Regions from separate parts of the Mus musculus genome. Here regions 1 and 3 are each reported to be linked to region 2. Evidence: microRNA targets listed by miRTarBase, many of them from high-throughput screens and not tested one by one. Region 2 holds a microRNA gene; each other region holds the end of a gene's coding sequence.
Evidence for each region. The annotated mature microRNA mmu-miR-5125 reads UCUGCCUGGGAUUUCCUUGU and lies in region 2 at 1,443-1,462, opposite strand. An mRNA with a match to its seed (bases 2 to 7 or 8) in the 3' UTR can be bound and repressed. Matches are read on the target gene's strand: a 7mer-m8 pairs with bases 2 to 8, a 7mer-A1 pairs with bases 2 to 7 and ends in A, and an 8mer does both.

Region 1: miRTarBase lists Rab27a as a target of mmu-miR-5125. Seed matches in the 3' UTR shown: 7mer-A1 at 2,047-2,053.
Region 3: the mRNA of Tstd3 is a reported target of mmu-miR-5125. Seed matches in the 3' UTR shown: 7mer-A1 at 2,468-2,474 and 7mer-A1 at 2,218-2,224.

The regions. Positions count from the first base shown.
Region 1 is chr9:73,095,185-73,098,184 of GRCm38, forward strand. It overlaps Rab27a (RAB27A, member RAS oncogene family), which reads left to right. Exons shown (of 6, transcript NM_023635.6): 6 at 74-2,430. The coding sequence ends at 272. Among named protein-coding and RNA genes, the nearest start is that of Khdc3, 5.7 kb to the right of the region's middle.
Region 2 is chr17:23,820,530-23,824,800 of GRCm38, reverse strand. It overlaps Mir5125 (microRNA 5125), which reads right to left and starts at 1,510; the gene lies at 1,432-1,510. It overlaps Srrm2 (serine/arginine repetitive matrix 2), which reads right to left. Exons shown (of 15, transcript NM_001368687.1): 11 at 3,111-4,271; 12 at 2,101-2,388; 13 at 897-1,010; 14 at 681-785; 15 at 60-585. The coding sequence ends at 576. It overlaps Elob (elongin B), which reads left to right. Exons shown (of 4, transcript NM_026305.2): 4 at 1-61.
Region 3 is chr4:21,755,565-21,758,564 of GRCm38, forward strand. Tstd3 (thiosulfate sulfurtransferase (rhodanese)-like domain containing 3) reads right to left here. Exons shown (of 4, transcript NM_029840.1): 4 at 1,818-2,911. The coding sequence ends at 2,839. It also overlaps a transcript of Ccnc not described here. Among named protein-coding and RNA genes, the nearest start is that of Tstd3, 10 kb to the right of the region's middle.

The sequences.
Region 1 (3,000 bases), not on the chromosome of region 2:
CAAAAAAATTACGAAGGGCAAAAGTCACTGTCTTTCTTCCCACATTGTTACCCCAGTGATTTCTGTCTTCCAGAATCCCCTATTTTGAAACCAGTGCTGCCAACGGGACAAACATAAGCCACGCGATTGAGATGCTCCTGGACCTGATCATGAAGCGGATGGAGCGGTGTGTGGACAAGTCCTGGATTCCGGAGGGAGTGGTACGGTCCAACGGCCATACCTCTGCGGATCAGCTAAGTGAGGAGAAGGAGAAGGGGTTGTGTGGCTGTTGAGACGCCAAGCGAGCCCCGTGGCAGCAGCGCATGACCCCTGGTTGCCGCCAGCTCCGCTGTAGAGACCAAGCCGGCAGCTCGATGAGATGAGCAAACAGCCCCTCCTATGCCAGGTGCCTCTCCTCGCCTCCAGGAGGGTCACCTCGGGCATCCATCTGTAACGCGCTGCAGCTTTGTATGATTTAGTCCATGAATCGGAAGAAATACTTCACAGAGCCAAAAGTGTCTTATAAAAGCCCACGGTGGCGGGTCATTTAGGGATCCAAGATTTCAGCCATGAAAGATTTCATCTGTTATGTAGAACGCTGATGGTCCTGTCGCCTGCCTTAACACAGTCGCCTGCCTCAACACAGGACAGCCCTAGAGTCTCATTGAAGACATTAAGATCTTTGAGCAAGGAAAAGCTAGCACGGTCTTGAGAATCCAGATTTCAAAATCCATACTGTAGACTATCACTCTCAAACACGTGAATGTCAATAAGTGTGTACACACAGATCAATGTCTTTCAGCATTGCTTTTTAACATAGCCTTTCCTTTGACATGAGCATAAACAGATGGCGGCCATACCTATAGACTCTGAATAGATCGGATTGACTCACTGTGAGTTTGGGGGTGGGGGGAAGGGTTTATGGAGCAGGGGTGGGTGAAGTAGGGATCAGTCAGATTGTCTGCTGTTAGCCGAGGGGTCATGAAGACTCTTGTGTCTATCCATGGTCTGTTGGGTTCAGTGCACCTCTGAACATCGCTCATGCTTCTACAGTATGTATGTTTGCATGTATGTATGTATGGTCTCTTCATATGTACGTATGTTTGGTCTGGCACCTCAGGATCTGCTTTCACTTGTCTGGAGACTGCCAATCTGACTTTTCCCATCAAGTTTTGGTGGTGGTGGTGTTTCCCAGTTTGTTTTCTCCCCCCCCCCCTTCCCCCATTAATGTAACTGAAGGAATCTCTTTTTAATTAAACGGCGTGTTTATTTGCTATCTGGAGGGAGGGAGTTCACTGTCTGTATTTAAGCAGTCACATTTGTGGGCCAGTTTAAGAGAAGTGTTTTGTAGCCTGTAGCTTTCACTGGGAATGTGGGGCACTGATGTTTTTTGATAGTGGAAAACATACTTTGCATGGTAGTTTCAAGTGGCTTTTTTTTTTTTTTTTTGAGACAGGGTCTTTTCATATAGTTTCTAGCTGGCCCAAAACTCCCTTTGTAGACTAGGCTGGCCTCAAACTCACAGAGATCCACCTGTCTCAGCACCCTAAGCACTGGGGATTAAAGGTGTAGTTGTCACACCTGGCTCTCAGAAGACTTTTAAAAAATTGCACATCTATCATTTATTGCCATTGTCCTTTGACCCCTCCTCAGAAAAAAATAGCCATGGCCACTAAGCTTTTACTGTTTTTGAAATAAGGGACTCTTTGAAACACCAAACTCATCATTGAGGCCTATACATCTGAATCCTATATACCCAGGACATGAGGCCCATCATAGCCGTGCCTTCCAGCGTTGTTCTAAGACTTCAGTGGAGCATACTGCTTGTTTGGCACATTTCTTAATGTCTCTCTTGTAAATACATCAAGTCAATATGCCAGACAGGTATTGGTGGTTCGTTCTTTTCATCTCCCATACTTGAGAAGCAGAGGCAGGCGATGAGTTTGAAGCTAGGCTTCACTATAGAGTGAGTTTCAGGACAGCCAAAGATACATAGTGAAGTCCTGTTTCAAAAAACAAACACACACTAGGCAGTGGAGGCCCATGCCTTTCATCCCAGCACTCAGGAGGCAGAGGCAGGTGGATTTCTGAGTTCGAGGCCAGCCTGGTCTACAGAGTGAGTTCCAGGACAGCCAAGACTACACATAAAAAAGTGAATGTTTGCACAGTGGCATAGTGCGGGTTTTGAGAAGTGAGATGCCGCTCCTGTTGGCTCCACACCAGGCACGGGGCTTAATGTGTGTGATAGTTGCCCAACACAAGAGCTGCCTTGAATTGTTGAAACAAAACAAAACTGAGTTCTCTGAAAATGGTTTAAATTTGATAAAAAAAAAAAAATAACCGTACTTTTTGTCACTGTATTTTTCTATTTACAAATCTGTATAAAAAATGCTCTTTAGTGAACTTTGTGCCAATTAAACCATAATAATAATAAAAAAAAATAATAAAAGAGGTCCAGTATATCAAGTTCTGGTGAATATTTCAAACTAGGAATTGTGATGCCAAAGGAACCCGAATTCAGGAATGCAGAGTCCACGAGATGCTTGCTGAGGACCCTGGCCAAAACAGCATCCAGGGAAGATAGCTCGAGATAGATTTTTTTTTTTTGGTCAATTTTATTTCATGTATATGAATGTTTGCCTGTGTGTCTGTGTCCTTTGTGTGCATGTCCTTGGAGACCAGAAAAGGCCATTGGATTTTTTGGGACTAGAATCACAGACAGTTGTCAGCTGCCATGTAGTTGCTGGGAATTGGACATAGGTCCTCTAGAAGAGCAGCCAGTGCTTTTAACATCTCTTCACCCCCAATTCAAAATGTTTTATCCAATATTTATTGAGTACCTTTGAGAGTTGGTGAACTAGGTAGTCTGATGGAGCAAAACAAAAATGGTTAGGTCCTGCACTCAAAGCAGAGCTGGGAGTGGTGCCAGGGCACTGGAGAAGGCTTGGCTACTGACGGAAAGAGACTCAGCCTCCTCTCAGATGCACATCCCTGAGTTGGCTCTGATCTAGCACTCATGGG
Region 2 (4,271 bases):
ACTTTTCTGTTCCCTCTTGTTCACAGAACTCTTAACCCCAAGTAAAGACTACAGACCAATTACTGCATTTCTCATTTTTATTTGACAGAAAAAGTTGCTTTTACTGTACAGATTTTAAAAAACCAAAATGCCTTAAACAAAGTTGGGGGGGAGAGGGCCTCACAACCTTGTAAGGGGGTGCAGCAGGGCCAACCAACTTCAGCTCCTTCCTCTTTCAGGAAAGATTACAACTTACCAAGTTAAACCATCAGTCACCCAAGAATTTAGGGAGCTAACTCCCTGGATCATCACAATCTGAGGCCTAGATGTCCTGAGCTGTGCCCCTCCCTCCCTAGACTCCCTCCCTCCCACTCCAACCCCCAAAACACAAGAACCAGGAAAAACTCACAGAGATCAACATTTCACAGGAACCAAAAAAAAAAAAAAAAAAAAAAAGGGTGGGTGGGAGAGGACGCTCTCCCCTCAAGATGCTGCCAAGGTTCAAGGGAAGGCATACAAAGACTCCTTCCATGATTCTTCTGGGAAAAATGAGGAATACTCATGTCTCCAGAGTATGAGGTGTAGTGGAATCCAGATTATGGAGACCTGGAATAGAGAAGACTGGTCATTCTGGGTCACCACACATATCCCTATCCCTAACTACTAGCTCTCAGAAGGGCCAGACTTCCAAGGAGACACACCTGGAGGAGCGGTGACGATTAGAACGGGGACTAGGTGTCTCCTTCCTCTTGTGACCAGGAGAGTGACTGTCCCCTCGCTGGCCTCTCCAGGAAACTCGCTCACTGCTACAAGAGGAGAAATTAGGTCACAGAACAATACCAAAAACTTTTAAATTTTGCTTACAAATTAATGGTAGCTAGTTGAGTCAGGTTGCTAGCACCTGCTATAGGCCCTACCTCTGTAGATCCCTTGGTGAAGGTTGGGGCGAGGGCTGTCGACGCTCAACGGGTGAGTAACTGAGGGATCGGGAATCCCGAAGGGAGTCTATTGGCTTCCGAGGACTTCGAGACCTAGGAAGCAGAGTAGGCCTCTATAGCTCCACATCCTCCCAAACCCACCAGCCAAGCATTCAGGACCACCCACCCAGGTCCTGACCACCAAACCTCACACCACACAGGGCCAGCCTCAGACCCACCTTTGTCCGCACTCACCCATCCGCCCGCACACCATCCACCGAGTACCCCAGTGGACAGGGCACAGGGTGCAGCGGGGGATGCAAAGATAAAAGAGTCCCTGCCCTTGGAAGAATTTTGTTTGGTAGTAAAGGTTAACAATGAAGGCACACACGCCCCCTACATAGGAAACAGCCCAGCAGGATGGATATGCATGGGCCTGGGGATCCAGAGAAAGGATGGGGACCTGGGCAGGACAGGGAAATGGCAGGGCAGTCTTCTCGGAGGTGCTGTTTGAATGCAGTCTTGCAGAACGAGTTCACCAGGCAGACAAGGAAATCCCAGGCAGAAGGAACAGCATGTCCAAAGGCATGGGGCTCTCCTTAGACTGCAAGGCGCTGGGTATGGCCGGAGCACGGGGCATGTGTGGGGGCGGGCAGGAGGAGCACAGGGCGGGCAAGGGCAGCTGGTGAAGAGCCTCACACGCCATTCCCGCAGAGGTGGCACTTTATCCTGCAGGCCACAGGGCGTTCCGGAAGGATTTGTGGAGTGAAGGGAAGTAACCAGATGTGCGTTTTAGAAAGATCCCTCTGGCTACGTGTGGAAGAGAATGGCGTGGAGGCAGGGAGACAGGGAGGAGGCTGTGGACAGAGTCGGGAGAAGATGACGGTGGCCAGACCAGAGCCCTGCAGCAGCAATGGGGAGACTTAGAGCTAGATCTCTGAGACCAGGCTGCTTGTCAGGGGAGGGGAGAGGGAGGAAGAATCCTATGACTTCCCAGATATGGCCTGGGACACCTCAGTTAGATAGTGCAGCCCTTGACCAGAATACAACACTGTGGGAGGATGGGAGGAGTCCGGCACTCCTTCTCCCGTACAACCAGTCACAGACGTCCACACGAGGCACCCCAGCAGGAACCTCACCCAGGGTCCCCTTTCTGGAGAACTCACCCCAACCCCCCTTCCACAACAGGCAAGAAAGCACTCACCTCCTCTCGCCAGGGGGTGGCTTCTTGGGGCTTGCAGGTTTGGGTAATGCCTGAGGGCCAGGCTTAGCAGGGGAGGGGGAGGAGGAAGAGGAGGAAGAAGAGGAGGAAGAAGAGGAAGAAGAGGAGGAGGAAGATGAGGAGGAGGAGGAAGAGGAAGAAGAGGAAGAGGAGGAGGAGGAGGAGCTGGAACTGGAGCTGCTAGAGCGCCTCTTCCTTTTGGCCGGGGTTGGTTCCTGAGGACGTCCCTCTCTAATAGCCTCCTTTGGGACTGGGGTGGGGCTGGGAACCCTGTGAGAGAAGAAAGGTGTCACAAGGAGACAAGATGCCCCAACCCCAACCCTACCTTCCTTGGCCTGGAGGAACGGCAGTGGGGGAGGGGTGCCTGAGAAAAGCCCTGGGAAAACACGAAGGCAGGCCAGTGAGTAGTACTTCTCTGGAGCAGTGGCACAGAGCTGACCAAACCTCTGCTAACACAAGCAACAGGCTGGGGCCCGAAGCACAAGGGATCAAGGTTAAACCTCAAGAATGTCCCTGATGAAGGATTAAGGCCCCTGGACTCAGATGTGGAAGCTGAAGCTGGGTGATCTCCTTCCTTGGAGAGCCGCAGCTTGGGGAGGCCCCTGTGAGTGCAGGTTGGCTGGGGAGGGGCCGTCCTGCCTGGAGGCAGGGAGAGGGATGGGATGACCTCTGAAGATCCTTCCAGCCCAGGGAGTTCCTCTTGAGGTCTAACTGCCATCCCTCCTGCTGTAAAATTAAGTCCATTTCCTCTAGTTCTGTCCTCTGTAGAGATGGAAAACTTATCATTATCCTCTGGAGAATTAACCTTTGGAGACTTTTATCTGTCCCATTCCTCCCCACAAAGCCCCCGCCCAACATTCTTTCTACTCCCAGCTTGAAGGCCAAGGTCCCCCATACTTTCTCAAAGCCAAGTGCTTTTGACAAGATTTCTCCCTCCCTACTCACCCACCCATTGTTAAGTCCCTGCTCCCTAGATCCCTTAATTGCCTCACCTTTTCAGTGCCACCTCAGGTTGAGCTGGAAGGCTGGAACCCTCTGAATCACTAGAACTGGAGCCAGAGGAAGAGGAGGATGACGATGAAGATGATGAAGAGGAGGAGGAGCTAGATGATGATGAAGAGGAGGAAGAGCTCCGACGTTCCTTAGCTGGTTGCAGAGCAGCCAATGTAGAAGGCTGCTGGGCCCCAGTAGAGGCAGGTGGCTCCCCACCTTCAGCATGGGATATCCCAGGGGCAGGGCCAGAAAGCATGCCATTGTGGTCACTAGCAGAGGATGTGGACTTCGCTACTGTCCCGGATGAAAGGGACTGAGACCCTGCTACAGGAGTGGTCTGGACAACTGAACGAGATTGGTCTGAAAAAGCAGATGGCACAGGGGACCGAGGCCGATCCTGTGCAGGAGGGAGAAGAGATTGCGAAGAAGCCTGAACCATTCTTGAAGCAGGGGAAGGAGCCCGCTCACGCTCAGAGGTCATTCTAGACTGGCTTGGGGCAGATGGTGGTGTTCTGGACCTGGCTCGATCAAGCATTAAAGGTGAGGTTCTGCCACTAACACGATCATAAGCAGAAAGGGGCACCCTGGGACTGGTGAGGTTTGCACCAGACAATGCTGGAGCCATCCTGGAACTGGAGAGATTTGTGGGAGCCAAGCCTGCAGGGGTTCTAGAGCCAGCAATATTCACAGGAGCTGTGCCATGCGCAGATCGAGGACCCACCACCAGGTTTGCGGGGGTTGGAGCCTGGGGTGTTCTGGAACTGGAGGGGTAATTTGCAGCAGTTGGAGGTGTCCCAGAGCCTGTGAGACTCAAAGCTGCTAATGCAGCTGGTGTTCTAGCTCCTGCTAGGTTCACAGCTGAAGCTGCAGGGGTTCGAGGATCTGCAAGGTTCACAGCTGAAGGAGCCACTGCTGTTCTAGGGCTGGCTAAGTTCATAGCTGCAGCAGCAGCTGGTGTTCTTGAGTCAGCAAGGTTCACAGATGCCGGAATAGCAGATGTCCTGGCACTAGCAAGGTTCATAGCTGCTGCAGATGCTGCTGGAATCCTGCTGGCAAGGTTAGCAGCTGGGGCTGTTCTAAGGCTCATGAGAGGTACAGGTGCTGGAACCTGGGACATTCTTGCAGCAAGGCCAGCAGCAGACATGGATGGAGGTGGCCGG
Region 3 (3,000 bases), not on the chromosome of region 2:
AGGCAACTAGGAGATGATTGGCTTCCAGGCAGCTAGGACAAGAGTCTTAAAGCCCACGACCACAAAGACACACTTCCTCCAACAAGGCCACACCTACTCCAACAAAACTGCATGTCCTAATAGTGCCACTCCCTGGGCCAAGCATATTCAAACTACCATCCTGTCTGTCTTCAGATCAAGATGTAGAACTCTCTTAGCTCCTTTCCAGCAGCATGTCTGCCTGTGAGCCATGATGTTTCCTGCCATGACAATAATGAACTAAACCTCTGAACTGTAAGCCAGCCCCAGTTAAATATTTTCCTTTATAAGAATAGTTGTGGTCATGGTGTTATTTCACAGAAATAGAAAATCAAACTAGGACAACAGTTACTTTAATCCTTGTGTCTGAAAGTCCAATATATAAACCCCCTCTGGCTCTCTTCTATTTTCCTCTGAGGTAAGGCCTCATATAGCTCAAGCTGGCCTTTTATTCTCTGTGTAACGGAGGACCTTGACTCCTCCTGCCTTCACCTCCCAAATGTCAGAGTTATAAGAATATAACACCATACCAGGCTCCTTTTTTCCTGCTACTTTTCCTTTTTTTTTTTTTTTGATTTATTTATTATATGTAAGTACACTGTAGCTGTCTTCAGACACTCCAGAAAAGGGCATCAGATCTCATTACAGATGGTTGTGAGCCATCATGTGGTTGCTGGGATTCAAACTCAGGACCTTCAGAAGAGCTGTCGGCGCTCCTAACCGCTGAGCCATCTCTCTAGCCTCTTCCTGCTACTTTTCAATTATAAGATACTATTTCCTGCTGGTGGCCCACACCTTGAATCCCAGCATTTGGGAAGCAGAGGCAGGCAGTCTCTGAATTTGAAGCCAGCCTGGTGTATGTATGCGTTCCAGGCCAGCTACAGCTACACAGTAAGACAGTGTCTCCAAACAAAAACAAACCAAAAGAGATCCTGACTCCTGTTGTGCCTAGCAAGTTTTGATACAAGTCTGGACATTACATATGAAAACTTGAGATAGCCTTTGGCTCTCATTCACCTGTAGGATAACCGCAAACTGTATTCTATAGGCAATATCTGGTTTGTCACCTGCTTTTTGGCCTGGCCTTAAGAATTTTGCTGAATTTCTAAATAGTTGAAAGAACATTTGGTGACACATGAATGAATTATGATTCATACTTTAGTGTGCATATGAAACCTTATGGGAGGGTAATCATATTTACATATTCATCTATCAGAGGTTCAGGAAGACACCTGCATTTGGATCTTAGTTGACATTTAGTTCTTGAGGGGACTGGTCAATTTATGGCTTAACTGCACCATTAGTTGTAACTAAAAGCCAGGTACTAGCCAGGCTGTTAGTTGATGGGCCCAGTACTACAATTTTGGTACATCCTCTACAGTTTACTTTCTCCTTAAGTTCATAGATCTTCCAAAGCCTTGCTGCTTCAGTACTGTCTTGAAGTACGCTAACCTGTGCCTATGTGTGTGTGTATGTGTGTGTGTGTGTGTGTGTGTGTGTGTGTGTGTGTGTGTTGCAGCTTTCCTAGTATGAACAATCAAGAAATCAGACTGCTGTTGTGGAGACAGATGTTCAAATGTTTGTATTTCCACATTTTTCAATGGCTTCCACTTATTTTGCAGAAGGAAGTACCTGGAGAGCTTTGCTGGGTGGGTCCTACCTGATCTAAATAACTACACAAATGAGAGTCAAAACAAATGGTCAGAAGCAGCAGGCAGGAAAACAAGTTTACCTTGTTACTATGATGCCAGCACACCAACAAGCATATAACTTAACACTTTAAAGAAATACATGCATGCTGGAGGGAGTCAAACTTTAATATTTTATTAGTTTTGAAATTGAGGTATATTGACGTGGAAAAACACTCATTTTTATGCTTCCTTTGATGAGTTTTGACACACACACTCCTGACGTTTTCAGTCATGGCCACAGAACATCTCCAGTATCCCACACCAATTCCTGGCCTCTTCTAGGTTACTTTGCTCTCCACAGTCAAAACCCATCAGATTCTTATCCTCACATTAATTATAATTTTTAGAATGAGTTGAATTGTTACTACTCTGCCCACACATTGCCATGAGTCTTCAGATGCTGTGAATATATTTTCCTGAGTAGAGTTGACTTCTCCAGACCCCAGAGTCTTTTCTTTTGAAACAGAGTCTCCGTAGTCCCAGCTGGACTCAAACTCATGGTGATCTTTCTGCCTCCGTCTTTCCAGTATTGGACCTAAAAATATGGGTCTCAAACCAGAAGCTCAGTTATTGTTTAAAATTGGGGCTGCTTGTTAACACTGGTTTTGCTCACAACCGTGATGACACATGGCTAGATAACTGGAGCTATCTGATCGGTTTGTTTGTTTTTTCGAGACAAGGTTTCTCTGTATAGCCCTGGCTGTCCTGGAACTCACTCTGTAGACCAGGCTGGCCTCGAACTCAGAAATCCGCCTGCCTCTGCCTCCCACGTGCTGGGATCAAAGGCGTGCGCCACCACCGCCAGCTTATCTGATCATTTTGGAACACCAAAATACTTAAAAATTAATTGTAGAGGGAGGGGAGGGGAAACTTTGGTTTCGGGTGTAATGTATGAGAAAAGAATAACAAAATGAACTGTAGAATATAATTTCAGTGGCAACTCATATTATCTCAGTGTGCAGTAGACTTTGAAATATTCAGGGGAGCAGCACCCTCAGTTCTCAGATGAGGAAAACGGTCGCCAAGCAGTCATCCAGAATCTATTAGCCTTTGGTGCCAGGGCTGGGTTTTTCTTTTGCTTAATCCACCATCCTTATAGATATGAACACCGAGTCTGTAATTCCAAAAGTCAACTTTCTTGTTTCTCCTCTGAAATTTCATAGGTTACCCATTCCTTCCATCCTCCAGCATAATGTTGAGCACTGAAAAGATACATTAGTAAGTGTTGCTTCATAACAGAAGAGCTTTGCAATAGCCACTCATAAAAATTATTTAGATTCTACATCTCTTT